Linked DNA regions of Drosophila melanogaster. Changing the gene in region 1 together with any one later gene gives a genetic interaction. Each region holds a gene or a part of one and is shown on either strand. Other genes may lie near its edges.

Region 1 (7,255 bases):
AAACGGGAGCAGCATTTCGCGCAGCTGTAGGCGTAAATTAAAATGCATTTTACGCAACTGTGCGACAAGATCCGGGCTTTAGATCCTGCAGCTGTTGCCCCTCGTACTGCATTTTCCTAATGGCACGCTCTCAACACTTGAAAAGGACACACCCCCGCCGCTCGGAAAACTGGTATAGGATAGCTCTCTGTTTTTCGTGGAAATTTACGCATTTTCATGCTCGACTACCGTTGCACAGAACAGAAAGGGAACCCCGACCGAAAATAGATTAGCCGCTCTCAAAGGATATTGAACCCGGCCAGGACCAAGCGACACCGAAGGACTTCGCCGTGGGTCAGTTGGTGTTGGTTTGTGGGACAACTGCCGAGGGGCGCGTGCCACGATCGGGGTTTTTGGGCCAGGATAATTGCCTCAAGTGCCGACAGATTGATGACCAGCAAACTCATTGAAGTATATATTTCAATTTCGAGCTAATGGCTTAGAAGTTGATGAAATCGGAGAGTAAAGAATTATTAAATTTAAGTTTTTTGAACACACATCTATTAAGAGGTTGTTCTACGTTTGAAATATGTATTTGCTAAATTAACTTTCAATCGATATTATGTCACTCACAAAAACGAATATTCCAATATATTTTATTTATTCAAAATATTGTGAATATTGCTTTATTTATAGAAGAAGGGAACACAATTTTTGAATTGTTTAGAAAAATAAGAACGATCTATTAAATGGCATAATTCAAAAATATCAAGTTTAAGCCATATACATGTATAAGTTACTTTTAAGTTTGACCAGTACAAAGTATATAGGAATTTATAATGGGGAAGCCAAGCTATATTATAATGAATAATTATTATTATTATAATGAATAATATCAAGATATCAGGGTTGTGCTTGCACCACAATTATGAAAAATAAAGTAATGACCCAGAAGTCTGTTATCATCTATTTATAAGCAGTTTGAAACAAATTAAAACCCACTTTAAATTTTATCAAATAAATATATTACCAATATACATTTAAATTTCGAACATTACATAGCAAAAAAATGTCAATTGAAATCAACAAATTTTTGAAAATGCGAGCCATATTTTCATTAAACGAGCTTGTATTTTTTGAACCCGAACCGTTTTTTTTTTCAAGTTTAAAAAGAATTAACTAACTCTAACAAAATCTAATATTTCAGTCGGTGTAGTAAAAACATAAACATAAACGATTTCAAATGTATCCTGAATACGCGGTAAACTTGTGTTTACCAACACCGCCTCTTAGACTATTCAGGCCTGCCAGATCTCCAAAAAAATATTATTTAGATAAGTTAGTGACACAAAAGGTTTAAGTCTTAACTGCGCTTAGCTGGGCTTTAAACCCACTGCCTATTCTTTGCTAATTGGAGTATTGCAAATCAGTTTTGAATCTGATTTATTTGTCCCGCTTACCAATTTTAATTGTGTAAATTCATTTGGTTTTACTTGGCCAACTTACAAATAATAGAATAATAAAAATGAAAGCCGTCTGTTTAATTATTAAAATAATGTGAATTAATTGGATTATTAATCTGGGCGTTATTATATAGAAAAGAAACCTAACTAACCAATTGCGGAAATATCGATAGCATCGCAATAAAATCTATATTGTGCCACCTCCAATTCACACAGGTCGGTCACACTGGGCAGGCTTGCCAATTTCAAGAGCCGCGGCCACACTACTGCGAATTCTATACTGCAACTCGATCGTGCGTGTTCTGTATTTTTGGGAGTGCGTTGTTAGAAATTCGGCCACAAATAGAATCCGCTGTCCTGGAACGAGTCAGAAACCACGGGAAATTGACTTCCGGACTAAATAGCGTTCTTGTGTGTCCATCCGTGTGCGTGTGTCCGCATTCTGCAGTGTGCGTGTGTGCGAAAGAGAGAGGGCGAGCGGTGCAGCCGCAACTGGGAAATTCGATTGCCAATATTTCAGCAAGGAAGCTATGTCGAGCGGTCAGCAATTGATGGCCGATTCGCCAGCCTGCAGCTCAAGTGACCATTCGCCGCTGGCCAAAAAAAGGCGTTTAGAGTTGTTGGGTGACGGAGTGGGGGCAATGGGAATGGAAGAGGAAGAAGCCGGCGGAGCAACGAGCAGCAGTAGCAGCAACAACTACGAAAATCACGACAAAGCAGGCGGCGTTGACATTTCGGGCAAGTGCCAGAGCAAGACGACTAGCGAGCACCAGCTGGAATTGTGCGTATCGTCGTCTACCTCTGACACATGCGGCGTTAATGCTGCGGCGAAGCGAGCCGAAAAGCAGAAACTGAAACAGAGCCAAGGAAGCGGCGACGACGTTAGTACCTCGTCAGCAGTGGAAAAGGAAGGAAGCAAGCGGCCGGAGAAGCGCAATTACCTGAACACCACCACAATAGAATCGCAAGAAGCCTCCTCCAGTGCATCCGCCACTAGCAACAGCAACAACAACGTCAGCTCCAGCAACAATAACAGTAATAACAGCACTAATAACCGACAACTGGAAGGAAGCAGCAACATGGCTGGAAACAGTGCCGCCGCCGGCGGAGATATCGATGAATCGCTGTACTCGCGCCAATTGTACGTCCTGGGTCACGATGCGATGCGTCGGATGGCCAATTCGGATATCCTTCTGTCGGGACTTGGAGGACTCGGCCTGGAGATAGCCAAGAATGTGATTCTGGGCGGCGTGAAATCGATCACCTTGCATGACACAGCAACTTGTGGGGTATGTGTGTGGGGCGAAGAAAAAATCGATAATTTTCCAGGCGGACGCGGGAAATGCCCGGAAAGGCTGACTTGGCATCCCTGGTCTTAGTGAATCATTCAGTTTTTATTTGATTTATTTATCATAGACTTCGCGCGAAATAAGGTTAGGTTAACATCTCTATTTGCTTGCAAAAAATTCGTTTTGTGTGTGTAATTCGGTTTTCCTTCTTTTTCTATTTGCCTCAAAATGTCTGCGCCATGCGAAAAGTGTGTGAGCGGGACAACCGTATGCGCATCGCTCGCTGCCGTTGTGTTTGCATTCCCCTTTGCTCAACGCATTCGGTTTTGTTTTATGCACTGAAAGATTCAACTTAAGATCTATGAGTTTCTCATAAACCGTAATATATCAATTATTTAGTTAATAGCCTTTCAATTTAAAGTTTTCTTGTATCATAAAAACTTTTTTGTTCTAATGACAAATATGTCTTTGCTGTACACTCGGCACAGAACCAATTTTCCTTTGTTAGTCATGGCTCCCGTCTGCTAATTTCATCACCGTTGATATATAATATTAATGATTATTCGTTTGTCTTGCAGCTCCATGACTTGTCGTCGCAATTCTATCTCACGGAAGCCGATATCGGCAAGAATCGTGCGGAGGCCTCTTGCGCCCAGTTGGCCGAGTTAAACAACTATGTGCGCACCGTTTCGCACACGGGGCCGCTTACCGAGGAGTTCCTGCGCAAGTTTCGCGTTGTGGTACTGACCAACTCCGACGGGGAGGAGCAGCAGAGGATCGCCAAGTTTGCCCATGAAAATGGCATTGCTCTGATCATCGCCGAGACGCGCGGACTGTTCGCCAAGGTGTTCTGTGACTTTGGCGAGAGCTTTACCATTTACGATCAGGATGGCACACAGCCGATCTCCACCATGATAGCTAGTATCACGCACGACGCACAGGGAGTCGTCACCTGCCTGGACGAGACGCGCCATGGTTTTAATGACGGTGACTACGTCACCTTCTCGGAGGTGCAGGGCATGCAGGAACTGAACGGTTGTCAGCCCCTTAAGATCACAGTGCTGGGACCCTACACATTTAGCATCGGTGATACCAGCAAGTTTGGAGAATATAAGAGCGGAGGAGTGGCCACCCAGGTGAAGATGCCCAAGACCATCAGCTTCAAGCCCCTGGCACAGGCCACTGAGGAGCCGGAGTTTTTGATCTCCGATTTCGCAAAGCTGGACTCGCCGGCCACGCTGCACGTGGCCTTCAATGCCCTCTCCTGCTACCGCAAGGCCCATAATGGAGCCTTACCGCGTCCCTGGAACGAGGAGGACGCCAACAGCTTCCTCGAGGTAGTCCGAGCCAGCAGCAACGCGGAAGTCGACGAAAAACTGGTGCTGCAATTCGCCAAAATCTGCTCGGGTAATACGTGCCCGCTGGACGCGGCCGTTGGTGGAATTGTGGCCCAGGAGGTGCTTAAGGCCTGCAGTGGAAAGTTTACACCCATCTACCAGTGGTTGTACTTTGACGCCCTGGAGTGTCTGCCCACAGAGGGTGTCGAGGAGGCGGATGCCCAGCCGGTGGGCTCGCGCTATGATTCTCAGATTGCCATATTTGGCAAGAAGTTCCAGGAGAAGTTGGCTGACTCGAAATGGTTTATTGTCGGCGCCGGAGCCATTGGTTGTGAGCTATTGAAAAACTTTGGAATGCTGGGCCTGGGAACTGGCAATGGCCAGATTTTCGTCACAGACATGGATCTCATTGAGAAGTCGAATCTGAACCGGCAGTTCCTGTTCCGCCCGCATGATGTGCAGAAGCCTAAATCAATGACGGCCGCCGACGCTATCAAACGGATGAATCCGGAAGTGAATGTCACCGCATACGAGTTGCGCGTTGGCGCCGAAACAGAGAAAGTCTTTTCCGAAGATTTCTTTGGAAAGTTGGATGGTGTAGCCAATGCGCTGGACAACGTGGATGCTCGCATATATATGGATCGCAAATGCATCTTCAACCGCATTCCGCTCGTCGAGACCGGAACTCTGGGAACTTTGGGCAACGTTCAGGTGATTGTGCCCTTTGCCACCGAATCTTATAGCTCCTCCCAGGATCCCCCAGAAAAGAGTATTCCCATCTGCACGCTGAAGAACTTCCCCAATGCCATCGAGCACACTCTGCAGTGGGCGCGTGACGCCTTTGAGGGCGTCTTCAAGCAGTCTGCAGAAAATGCTGCTCAGTACATCGCCGATCCTCAGTTCACCGAGCGAATCGCCAAGCTGCCTGGTATTCAGCCTCTGGAGATCCTCGATTCCATCAAGGTAAGGATAGAATTTACTTCTTTGCCTAATATGTTGTACTTAATGGTAATTTATTTTTACAGAAAGCTCTGATCGACGACAAACCCAAGAGTTTCGCGCACTGCGTGGAGTGGGCCCGTCTTTATTGGGAGGATCAATATGTTAACCAGATTAAGCAGTTGCTCTTTAACTTCCCACCTGATCAGATCACCTCCAGTGGTCAGCCGTTTTGGTCTGGTCCCAAGCGGTGCCCCGATCCCCTGGTCTTTGATGTCAACGATCCCATGCACCTCGACTTTATCTACGCAGCCGCCAATCTTCGAGCTGAGGTCTATGGCATTGAGCAGGTTCGCAATCGCGAGACGATCGCAGAGCTGGTACAGAAGGTTAAGGTTAGTTGTTCGAGATTAATACCGTCGGGGACCATTTCTGATATTATTGATTTATAGGTGCCCGAGTTTAAACCCCGTTCGGGCGTGAAAATAGAAACCAATGAGGCAGCAGCCGCCGCCTCGGCCAATAACTTCGATGACGGCGAGTTGGACCAGGATCGCGTTGACAAGATCATTTCAGAGCTGCTAAAGAACGCCGACAAAAGCTCCAAGATCACGCCACTTGAGTTTGAAAAGGACGACGACAGTAACTTGCACATGGACTTCATTGTGGCCTGCTCAAATCTACGCGCCGCCAACTACAAGATTCCGCCAGCGGATCGCCACAAGTCCAAGTTGATTGCTGGCAAAATCATACCTGCTATTGCCACCACCACGTCGGTGCTCTCTGGATTGGCTGTGCTCGAGGTGATTAAGCTGATCGTCGGCCACCGGGATCTCGTAAAATTCAAGAACGGCTTCGCCAACTTGGCATTGCCGTTCATGGCCTTCTCTGAGCCGCTTCCTGCCGCCAAGAACACATACTACGGCAAGGAGTGGACGCTGTGGGACCGTTTTGAGGTGACCGGGGAGCTGTCGCTGCAGGAATTCCTCAACTATTTCGAGGAGAATGAGAAGCTTAAGATCACCATGCTCTCGCAGGGCGTGTCCATGCTGTACTCGTTCTTCATGCCCAAGGCCAAGTGCTCTGAGAGACTGCCGTTGCCGATGTCGGAGGTCGTGCGTCGCGTGTCCAAGCGTCGCCTGGAGCCACACGAGCGATCCCTGGTTTTCGAGATCTGCTGCAACGATGTGGATGGCGAGGATGTGGAGGTGCCCTACGTCCGTTACACGCTGCCCTAAGCCCGTCTATATTCCTAATTTAACCATTAAATTATTTTACGATCCCGTTTTGTTGTCGGCGACGCGTTTTGGAATCGCGCAGCTCCAACGAAGGAGTTACTGTCTAGCTGTTTGCATTTTAATTTTCACAACACCATTACGAGAGCAGCCCAGATCTAGAAATTATATAAAATGTGTGTGAATCCTCTAAGGAATGGCAAAATAATACGCATCATACGAAATACAAAGACTCGACTAAAAGCAACACTTAAAATGCATCTGATGAAACTCTCTGCTCAGCATAGTTGTAAAGGTAACGAATTACGAAAAACCGAAGGCGGATTTTAATCGCATTGATTAATTGGAAATTGAAAACTGAATGAGCCAGGCGGAAAATTTCTCTTCACTCATATATTTTTTTTATATGGAAGCATAAACTAATTACGTCATTGTATTAAAAGGAGTAAAGCAAATGAATAAAGCTGTATATTTCATATGGTAATCGACCTGCTAGACGACTCAGATAATTTCGTTCAGCACTTGACGTCTGGTAATCTCATTTCCCCCGCCACTTCGGAAATTAAAATTGTAATGCATACTGCTCTGCCAGTGAAGTATATAGGGGATGCCATCTATCCGTACGCCAGTCAGTTTCAGAAAGTTACGTGACACAATTAAATATTTTATGCCCTCTCAAGACGTTTATACCACCCCCGCCCCGCACCCAAGGAGGCTGCTGCCACCAAAGTGCAATTGGCAAGTGCCGTAAAGTTGCACCGCTCATGGAAAGCGTTGGGCGGAGTGGCGGCGTCCTCTTATAATTAAATATTACACGCAATGCAACTGAAGTATGGCCAAAGTTATGCAGTTTCGCATCTCACTCTTGGCCTTTTGCGGCTTTTTGGCAAACTTGCTTGAATTATGCAGTTAATGAAAACAAAGCGAGGCGAGGAAAGTGGCTGCGCCGATCAGCTTTGTATCCGTCGAATAAGTGTGTTCTGGGCAGGGTAATCAAAGTTTTGGGTTTGTAG
Region 2 (6,277 bases), 3.0 Mb from region 1:
AAAAGTTGGACTGCAGATCTGAAAGAAAGTATAATATGTAAATATCTTGAGAAGTTAATAAAATGGGTGATAAAGTAATACGACATTGGTAATTATCAAAATAGTCGGTATTCGGATTTGGAACCGGCGGAACGATGCTTCTTAGATTGATCTGATTCAATAGTTCGGTTAGATTCATTTAAAAAATCTTACATAAGCTTAAAAAACGAGAACGACACCTTTATCGTCCTAGTCCGATACACTGCAAAAATTCGCGTATCAGCGTTATTTTTATCAAAAAAATTATCTTTTTGTTACGAACGCGTAAGCAATTCAAGGTGGGATTAATCCTAAATGTGGGGATAGTTCAGCAAACTAACATTATAAAGAATATTTAATTACACACGTTACTCATCATAAAAAAGGATAACTAACCGAGTCGGTCTGGCCATGTCAATCTGGCAAGCAGATTCTACACACGACTGTGGAAGATTGTTTGAGAACGTTGCTATGCAATCGCTAATGCACAAAACTGTTACAACTACATTTTTGAAACAAGTCGGTATTTTTTCCATTTTATTGAATTATTTAGTTTATTGATCCAACGAAACGAAAGTCCTCCTCGAGTAATATCACCTCCAAAAGGGGCGACCGATGCCTGCATCTCTTATCTGAGATCATAGATCGAAGCCTACGGACATTTATCGTTTAGTGATAAAATATTTAAGTTTTTGAACATCACATTTAGCAGTTTGGAGATCGCTCCCTTACAGTTTTGAAATTGGCGGCAATAGCTTTCTGGTTCCATAACAGTTTTAGATCCGAAAGTAAGTATAATATATCTTGAGAAGTTAATCAAATGGTTGTCAGAGTAATACATCGTTGGTGAAAAAAATTTGGTTTCCATTTTACAATTATATCAAAGCAATCGGTATTCGGTTTCGAGAGCGAAGCCGTTATTTCGAAACCGTTACCGCGAACCGGTTCCCAGCGAGCCGCGGCTCGCCAGTCGCGAAAACACAACGAATGCACAATCTAGAGGTGGAGAAATATTGATGTTGGCGGGCATCAAAGCTTCCAATGTTTTTGGCGAAAAACATCGATGTTTAAAATAAAAACAACAAAATTTACCTGCTTAATTTAATGATTATTTTTTAATATTGCTTAAATAAAAAGGCAGTACTTTAAGAAAAGAAAAACAAACTTATTGTCGTCTCCGTTTTCATCAGCCGCTGGTCCAATAGTTGCTCCTATAAAACAAATTAATACAATTAAATGGAAAAGTAAACCAGTATGCATACGAGCAACTGCAAGTGCACAAATCGGGAGTTCAAAACTAACATTTCAGATATTAATCCATGTGCTATGTTATGCTTTTAATAATTGCATTAGAAAATATGGAAAATTAATTTGTACTTACAATTCATACACTTTTCTTCTCCGATGCGCAGTAGAGATGGAAAAACATCGATGTTTTCTCGAAAAACATCGATGTTTATGATTTTTCAAAAACATCGATGTTTCTCCACCTCTACAACGAACGCACAATCACAAGCGCCGCTCGCGAGAACGAGAACGGGAACTCGAAAGAACCTAGATCGCTGATCGGAGAACCGTGGAACCCGTGGAACCGTAACCGTGAAAGTGGGGAATCGAAGATAGAACGGAGAGGGTGGTAGGCCGATTCCCTCTCCCCACTGCCCGTTGAAATTCAGAATACTAAGCTCTCGGTTAAACGCGGCGAAAAAGAAAGCAAGCTCTGAGCGGCTGAAAAAAAAATGAAGTGAAATAAAACTGGGATCGCGGCACCAGCAACAAGTTTTAGTGGCTCTTCTTTGTGCGTTTCGTTCGTGTTTGCTGCCCTGCGCTTTGCTCGCCACATTCGTCGCCGACTTTTATTTTGTTTTGCCCATTTTATCAGAATCGGAGCACCTCCAAAAAAGCCCAAGACGAGCTGAGCCTCAGCTGCGTCGAGGTGAGCTGATCCACTCCGCTCCCCTTTCGTGCGCTGCCCACCGCTCCCCACCGCTCACACCCGATCCCATCCAATCCAATCCGATCCGCTCCGCTCCGAGTGCATAGTGCATGCAAAGTCGCGGGGCTGGGCTTTCGGAATTACACAACCCACATGGGGCAGCGCCAACAAAGGCCTCAGCAGCAACAATAGCGGGCAGCCAAGCATTGCCCTGCCCTCGACTTCGACCATGGCTCCCACCACCAGTCCGCCACCCAAGCTGGCCAAGTTCAAGTCCTCGTCGCTGGACCACGAGATCTACACGGCCAATCGCCGCGGCACCATTGCCACGGCCTCCAGCGACTGGAAGGCGCTCCGCGGAGGCGTCGGTGGAGGAGCAGGAGGACCCGGTAGCGTACCCAATCCCTCTAACGGACGCTCCCTTCACGCCGGCGGACCCATGACACGGGCCGCCTCCACATCCTCGCTGGCTAGCAGTACGCGCACGATGACTAACTACCAGGAGTACAAAATGGATATCATCAACCAGGTGAGGACCAGAAATGGGTGACCAGTGGCTCCGTCCTTTGCTATGGACAATTTGGGAATTATTTAGTTGAAGTCTTGAGAGTATGCTGGGACTGTTGCCTTATAAAGTAAGCGTCTGATTCAGCATATGTTCAAAAAAATTTACGAGTGTTACTCAGCCAATGGAATTGCAAGGAAGTTAAATAGGGAGATATTCACCAGCAAAGTGAGTGTTTCAGCAAGGAACTATTGAATGCCTTGGATTAGCTTTAATCTTTTGCAGAATTCTAGAATTCCGATGGGTATTCTTAAATATAAGACCAATTCGTACACATAGAGGCAGCTATGTATGTATGTATGTGGTCCAGACCAAGCAGATGTCTTCCTTATAGGCCAGAATTCTCTAAAATTATACAATTACAGTCATTTCGGTTGGAAAATTAGAAAAACTAAGCCAAGATAATACAAATTAAATTTGCAAGTGGTTTTAAAAGCATTATGAACTTTAGCGGTCAAGGCTTTGTTACAAATAATTTATATTCTTTTGACAAGTTTTCAGGGCTCATATGCATTGTTTTAATGTTGAAATTTACAATAGATACTTCTTCGATAAATAAGACTTCTTATAGTTCATAGCAATGCGCCTGGTGATATAAAAGTTTAATCAACACAAATACTTAAATTTCTTAAGAGGTTGAGGACATGTGCTTTACTTTAAGGTGTAATTATTTTAAACATGACTCGGTTTCAACCCACATTTAAATATATAGTTTTGCGTTAAAATAGTTAAAAACCTTGATAATAGTTATATATATTAGTTGTTATAGTTATTCTATTCCAGCCTTATGTTGCCACTCAATGTTTTTTTTTTAAATTATTTTAAGTAATATCTAACGTTATCAACATAGAATGAGTCAGAAAATAAACTGGTCATGCATCGGAACATGTGCACATAATTAAAACCGATTTTTGAGACATACATATAAATACAACAGTTTGGTGATTAAATATTCAGCAAGTACGCAAAATGAGAAACACAACACAAAACTAAAAGAAAAAGCTGTTCAAACAAATTGCCTAATTTCGTGGACAAATTTCGAAATTGCCAAAATGAAACGGAACAGACAACTGCAAACAGATTCCAATTTAATGTGCAGAACTGTTTGCGGTATCAACTAATTTTCGATGGCTCTGATCGAGGACGATCCATCCGAATCTCTGCTATCCACCATTTGGGTCTTGACTGTCTCAACTTAATTGATAAGGCAAATATTTTTGTTTCCACCATTCGTTTATCTGAGACTGATAAAACTATTTACTCCGCTCCTCCAGGTGAGCGACATGTAAAGTGTTTATTAAATATATTTGCCTATGTGGTTGCTTTCGCCGGGCTGATAACTTCTTGAGGAATTTATCATTAAGCGCATTGCGGAAGTTTTCTCAGAATGCAGTCCTCTAAAGTAAACGCCATTTTCTCTGACAAATCAGATGGAATGGGCCATAACCAGGCTGCATAGAGGTTTTCAAGGAAAATAATAGCAACTAAAGAAAAGGGAAGAACCGCGAAAGCGCCACGGGTGGAACCATTATAAACAAGTATTCCAAAAATAAACCGACCACTAACTATACAACCCGAAAGCCTCAGGTGATGAATTCATCGAACTCTGGCCATTCAAGTAAATCTTATGGTATTTGGTCGCACCAAACCCGCCAAAAGGAAAGAGTTGGGCGCACAAGTGTTCGCCATAACAAGATCACGTAAACAAATTGACGGATTTATTAATATTTCGCTGGGAGGCTGGACGGGTTCGGAGTAGCTTCGATAGACTTTTCAAGACACTAGCTTCAAGGCCGGTGATTTGGCATGGGCTTGATTTCTTTGGCTGGCCATGTCATAAGTCAAGTTGGCTCCAAAGTGAGTAATTGTCTGTTTACTTGGCTGCGGAATCGTTGGCGTGACGAACGGTAATTGTGCGACATAAATTGTCGAAGGAAACTTGCAACTAAATGGGTCGGAATTGAACGCAACATGGTGGGGAATGCCTTAATTACGCCAAACGTTTCGCGTCTTTCAGATTCCATAAGTAAATTTTTAGTTGTCTTAATGCCTTTCCACAGCACGTGCTGATCGCTTCTTTTGTTTAAGTCGTTGTTCAAAGTTTATTACCGCCATGTGCACCTGCCATCAGTTTGGCTGCATGTTTAGATACTCTGTAAGAGGTGTGATTGAAATAGCCCAGGTGTCTACGGAATCCTGTAAACGGATTCAGAGCGACGTAAATAGAACATATGCATGTTCGCCGGAAAACTCGAGGCAGTCGATTGATATTGTTTAAGTGGCCCGCTGATGGAGCGAAATTGCCTGGCAATGATCAAAGCACTGTAGTTAATTTGATTGTGATTGAACTTTTGGCTTTGTCGTTCTATTCCAGGGGAAATGTCTGTGTGGTCAGTACATCAGAGCGCGGCTGCGACGGGCAGGAGTCCTCAACCGGAAGGTGACACAGCGTTTGCGCAACATCCTGGACCCCGGCTCCTCGCACGTGGTCTATGAAGTTTTCCCGGCACTGAACAGCGTGAGTGTACTGCCATTCGCCATTGAATCTTTTCATAACATGGTATAATCCACAGATGGGCGAGGAACTGGAGCGGATGCACCCGCGGGTGTACACAAACATATCGCGACAGCTGTCGAGGGCCCCGTTTGGCGAGCTGGAGGACAGCGACATGGCGCCCATGTTGCTCAACCTAGTTGCCAAGGATCTTTTTCGCTCCAGCATCACCTGGGGCAAGATAATCTCGATATTTGCCGTATGCGGCGGCTTTGCCATAGACTGCGTGCGCCAGGGACATTTCGACTACCTACAGTGCCTGATTGACGGTCTGGCTGAGATCATAGAGGACGACCTGGTCTACTGGCTGATCGACAACGGCGGATGGTTGGGCCTGTCGCGGCACATCCGACCCCGGGTCGGCGAATTTACGTTCTTGGGATGGTTGACGCTGTTCGTGACTATCTCTGCAGGCGCATATATGGTCTCAAACGTGTGTCGGCGCATTGGAGGTCAACTGTATTCGCTGCTGTTCTAGATTCGCTTGGGATCGCGTCGTTAAGAAATACAATCGTACCATTTAGTCAATGAGAGCTTCAAATCATTCCTGCTTCCATGGGCACCAGTCGTTTAGTAGTATGTAACGGACCCTGTTTTACGTATAATATTGTTATTCCCTTTCTCCTCTTTTTGTACATACAAGGCTATTCTAGGCGCAATAAAGCGTGTGTTGTAAACTTTTTTTTCGAATTTGGCGCGAAGTCTGGGTGTTATGCACGGAACTGCATTACTTTATGTCCGTGTTTAGCAACACTGGAAACGCCGTGGAGGTGCCAATATTTTGAGTACGACAATTCGTCTTTAAAATGTTATAGTGCCCAATCTTTGACTGTTGAACAGTGTATCTGTTACCAGAAATTAAAGACGAATCGACTAACATAATCTCTCAGTTAAACAAAAAATATAAAAGTTAACTTTGCTGACAAAAGTTTTTATAATTTTGTAATTACTGGTTCAATGTTCTAGTCTTTAAAATAAATGTTATTAACATTTTAAATTTTGATTGTTAGCCTTGCCACCCAGCTAAAACGCAAATACTTACCCAGCCCTGTGGCAACGCTTCGATTTCCAAAAACCATTTGTTATTATTGCTGTGGATCTGCCCATTATTATTTGTTGTAAATAAAGATTGGAGCAAATTATGCCATGTCATGTAAGTGCACTGATTCCGTGGGTATGAACGTCGAGTAACATGCACTTGCAG
Region 3 (4,674 bases), about 14 Mb from region 1:
TACAGCCCAATTAGTTGGCTAATCATTGGGCTTTCCCTTTTTCCTCTTGTGCAAAGAAAAATGAAAATTTCTGCGATTTGGGGCAACTGTACTGCGCCACACGCACACTAGTGCGTCAACAGCTGATCGCCCTGACAGCTGTCAGTTGTTTTTGGCGCTAAATTCAAATCGAGATCATATTTAAATGCATTAATAGTTCCTTCGATACTTATATTTACGCAAAAATCATCATTTGGTTAATTTTATTAATTTCCTAAATTATAAAATTAGGAAATAAATATAAAATTTAGGAAATTAATAAAATTAGAGTGAGAAAAATCTTAATTAATCACTCTTAATAATGCTAATTTGAATTCCACTAAAGTTTCGTACAATTTCACTGATTCAGCCAACCAAGTCTTCATTGTTATCTTTTATTTCCCATATCAACGTACTCAATCTGGCCCAGACAGCTCCTGTCTTCAAACAAAGTTGCTTAGATCGAAATTACCCATCTACGTTCAATTGGGGAGATACCTTGCTATGTTTTTAATTCATTTTTATTCATATCAAATATAAATGTTTGCGTGTACATAAAAGTATGTATGTATGTATAAATCTTCATTGTATTATCTTATCTCAAATTTGTGGGTTTTCTATTGGCAAGGTCTCGCTTATGCATACGGAAGTCATCTAGTGGGTAAATGGGTAACGAATTTCGTCAATGATAAGGCCGAAATGGGCATGGGAAAGGCAGGGGAATGAATGAAAGGGAGTCGGGTGCTTCAATATCCATCGGGATAATCGCACGCGTCAGCTAAAACTAAACTTGAAGTGAATTGGAATCCAACGTGAATGATTGCGGGCGATGGTTGTACAACCTCTGTTGAAAGTTCTTCTTCGAAGGGAGATCTCTTCCTAGCCAGCCTTATTGCCGTTCGGCTTGTCGCCGAAGCGCAGTATGCGCGTCAGCATGGAGGTGAGGCACGGTATTTGCTTCTGGCGATCCATCATCGGTGTGGCGGGCACGTTCGACTCAAAGTCTAGGGCTACGCGCTGGTTAACGAATGTAAGCAGGGTGAGCAGGTCGTACTTTTTGCCATTGGCGTTCAGCTCGCGGATCAGCGATTGCATGTACCAGGAGCCATTGTTGATGTTGCGCCAGGAGAAGTAGCCTAACAGGACGAGATTGCTAGTGAAATTCACTAAAATAGTTACCTAATCATATTCCTTACCCGGAATGGTCGAGTAGGAGAAGAGAAAGTCGGCGTGTATGGGTATCTTGTAGCTCGTCGAGGACTCCCCGTCCGTCTCGGTAACGCCCTTCTCCAGAGTGATGCCTCCGTCCAAGCGATCGCCCTGGCAGGCTTGGATGAAGAACAGCTTCGGCTTGCCCGCCAGCGAGGGGCAGAAGGTGGCAGTGAAGTAGTGCCAGATGTTGTCCAGCTTGTACTGCGTATCCTTGGCGTACAGGTAGCCGTGCTCCCCGTGCGAGAGTATGGCCACCGCAAGGCAGTCGTTGTCCGTGTGGTCCAACTCGGCGGCCTTCCCCACGTGCTTCAGGATGTCCCTCAACTTGCAGTCCTTGTGCACGGACACCGCGAATCCCAGGTTTTCAAAGGCCTTTTTCAGCTCTTGGGCATCGACATTTGTTCCGGTGCGGCTCTTCAGCGAGGGTATGTCGAAGAATTCGTGGTTGAAGATCAGCGCAACTCCGCGGTGCTTGTGACTCATGTTGTATTCGCTTGCATATCGTTCCACGGGCATTCGAGCCACAAACTTGTTGGCCGGCAAGGGGCTGGGGAAAAAGAAATCAGAATTATAATAGCCATTTGGGAAGCAGCATGATAAGATAAGGTAATCGGCGAAATAATCGATGATTGGGTATTTATTTATGTAATTATTTTCAAATATATTTGTGAATAAGACTAAATAGAACAATAGAATTAAAGTCAAGTGCTTTCAAACTTTGTGACTTCAGCCATTTTAACAACATTATAAAGACAGATTGACACATTGATTTTAAATGTTGGCAATAGACAGTATAAATAATATAAAAATAATAGATTGTGGAATGAAAATGGAATAAATAAAAAAAAAAGAGCTTTATATGCTGCATTTGAAACTAGGATATAGCAGTTATGCCAGTACTTGCATTGATAACAAAACACAGAAACATAAAGAGAGAGATGGGAGAGGGAGAGAGCGAGGCACATGGACTCACCTCGCTGCAGTTGCACCACCAACAACAAGAGACTCCGGCGTACAGCCCTTGGCATCGGTATTATCAGCCATTATAAAGCTGCCCCGATTTTCCGATCCATTTGGGCTGCGAATGCCTACTCCGTAGTTTCTGGTTACGCACTCGTCGGTCATCTTGCGCCCCTTTTCTTGCTTAAGTTCTTGTTTTGATTGTTTGCGTTTCTCCTTGTGTTTCCTCTTGCCTTTTGTTCGCTCCCTCCTGCTCCTCCCTCGCTCACGCGCTGCTCTTTCCTTCCTTTTCTCTCTCCGCAGTTGTTGCGCCCTTTTTGGTCTGATTCTTGTTTTATTCTGACACTGCTTCTGTTTTCTATTGCTCTGCGTTGGCCAAACTTTGCGCAGCGCAGCTGTTTTGCGCTTCTCAGCCAGCTTTTGTCGGCTTTCGATCGAGCGAATGTCCTTTTATGGCTCACAGTCGGACGTGTTTAATCAATCAATTAACGGAGGTTAAGCGTGCTCTGAGCGGCGAAAACAAACTGCGATTGCATGTAGTCGTGTGTATGCACTTGCCGCCAAGCGGCGATGGCCGCTCGTCGATAGCACTAATCATCGATTGGTGGCCATCGATTAATTTGTAGAGGGTGTTCTGGTCCTCGGCGCCTTTGTTTAAATTTAAACTCTAACATTATATTGTTCATTTTAAGGGAAAGAGACATTTATGGCGTTTAATTTATTATGTAGCGAAAAACATATAGGGGTGTTCCACGAATATTACCTTATTATTTGGCTTAAGCACGGACTTCCCCGAATAAATGTAGCTTCCTAGTCACTCACACATTTATCTAATCTAACATTAAAAACAGGTCTACGCCGGCGACGGAATGCCGGGGCACATCTGTCTGGAGTGCCGCCTCCTCTTCGAGCACTGCTACCGCTTCAAGCAGATGTGCAAGCGGGCGGAGACCCTCCTGCGCCAGTATCCGCTCACGGGTAACTGGCCATCGCCGCTGGAGAAGCCCCGTGCGCCCATGACGATGGTGGCTTCCAAGAAGTTGTTGGTCGTGCCAGCAAAGACAGCCGAGCCAAGCGAAACGCCCAAAAAGCTGCTGAACACAATGGCCAAATCCAGTAGTCAGGTGATCATCGAGGACGTCCAGGTGCTGGAGAGCGCCATGGTGACCCCCAGGACGGTAGCCGGTTCCTCTCCAGTGCCACGTCGTTCGCACGCCTATGAGCTGAAGGTGGATAACAACCAGGAGCTGTCCATGGACGATGTGCAGAGCATGCTGGAGGATATGGCCAGTGAGCTAGAGAAGGAGTTCCCCGATATCCCCCAGAAGGCATCACCCGTCAAGCCGAAGGTGCTGAACAAGTCCTCGATTAGGATCTTGAACAAGGGACCCGCCGCTCCGGTGGAACCGCGCCTGGCCACACCCAAAGTCAAGCGAGATGATAGTGGCAATGTGGCCATAGTGACAGAGGTTCTGGACTCGGATCTGCCATTGGACGATCAAGATGATCCGACCAAGAACGCCGAGAAGGTGGCCACCGATGTGTTCCCCTGTCCCGATTGCGAACGCTCCTTTCCGCTGCAGCAGCTGCTCGAGATCCATCGGCTGAATCACACTCGCTCGCGCAGCTTCCAGTGTCTCCTGTGCGAGAAGAGCTTCTTCTCCAAGTACGACCTGGCCAAGCACAACTTTGTGCACACCGGCGAGCGGCCATTCAAGTGCGCCATCTGCTCGAAAGCCTTCACACGGAAGGCATTGCTCCATCGCCACGAGCGCACCCACACGGACGTACCCAAGTTCATCTGCGTGTACTGCGAGAAGCCCTTCCTTTCGCGCCAGGAGATGGAGAAGCACGCCGAGCGACATCAGAAGAAGCGTCCGTTCCAATGCGGTGTCTGCACCAAGTCGTTTGCCTTCAAGCAGGGATTGGAGCGTCATGAGGTGGGTTGACAAGCATATTTGGGATTGCCCCGGCTAACGATTATGTCCACTTTCAGACAGTCCACTCCACCAATCTTCCCTTCCCCTGTCAGCATTGCGAGAGAAGCTTTTCCACCGCTTCCAAGCTGGCCCGCCACCTGGTTGCCCACGCCGGGAAGAGAGCCTATCCCTGCAAGTACTGCCACAAGTCCTACATGCTGTCGCATCATCTCTCGCGCCACCTGCGCACGCACACGCAGACTTCCGACGCCTCGTTCGTGTGCAGTGAGTGCAAGGTGTCGTACAGCAACTATAACGACCTACTGGATCATGCGCTCATTCATGCCACCGCCAGCCTGAAATGTCCCATGTGTCGCAAGCAGATCGAAGATATCGACAGTGTCGAGAGCCACATGGACCAGCACAAGCAGAGCGAGCGCCATGCCTGCGAGTTCTGTGACCACATCTTCTTGACGCAGAAATGCCTGCAGCGCCACATCGAGGACGATCATGTGGTGGAAATGGAGCCGTACCAGAACGAGTTCGAAGACGACGGCGAAGGAGA

The links.
Region 2: of Uba1 (region 1) and Debcl, changing one suppresses a phenotype caused by changing the other (phenotypic suppression), as found in Drosophila melanogaster (one study listed by BioGRID).
Region 3: of Uba1 (region 1) and Dcp-1, changing one enhances a phenotype caused by changing the other (phenotypic enhancement), as found in Drosophila melanogaster (one study listed by BioGRID).

What each region holds. Positions count from the first base shown.
Region 1 is NT_033778.4:9,687,758-9,695,012, reverse strand, and holds Uba1 (ubiquitin activating enzyme 1), read left to right. Parts: upstream 1-1,684; 5' UTR 1,685-1,972; coding exon 1,973-2,731; intron 2,732-3,309; coding exon 3,310-5,031; intron 5,032-5,093; coding exon 5,094-5,402; intron 5,403-5,459; coding exon 5,460-6,245; 3' UTR 6,246-6,724; downstream 6,725-7,255.
Region 2 is NT_033778.4:6,647,096-6,653,372, forward strand, and holds Debcl (death executioner Bcl-2), read left to right. Parts: upstream 1-1,558; 5' UTR 1,559-2,183; coding exon 2,184-2,483; intron 2,484-4,893; coding exon 4,894-5,037; intron 5,038-5,092; coding exon 5,093-5,551; 3' UTR 5,552-5,747; downstream 5,748-6,277. Other genes in the region: Opbp (Optix-binding protein), read left to right, coding at 6,220-6,226.
Region 3 is NT_033778.4:23,549,404-23,554,077, reverse strand, and holds Dcp-1 (death caspase-1), read right to left. Parts: upstream 2,766-4,674; 5' UTR 2,356-2,765; coding exon 2,204-2,355; intron 1,778-2,203; coding exon 1,215-1,777; intron 1,155-1,214; coding exon 898-1,154; 3' UTR 531-897; downstream 1-530. Other genes in the region: pita, read left to right, coding at 3,042-4,130, 4,187-4,674. UniProt on the Drosophila melanogaster protein: Involved in the activation cascade of caspases responsible for apoptosis execution. Proteolytically cleaves poly(ADP-ribose) polymerase (PARP). Loss of zygotic DCP-1 function causes larval lethality and melanotic tumors.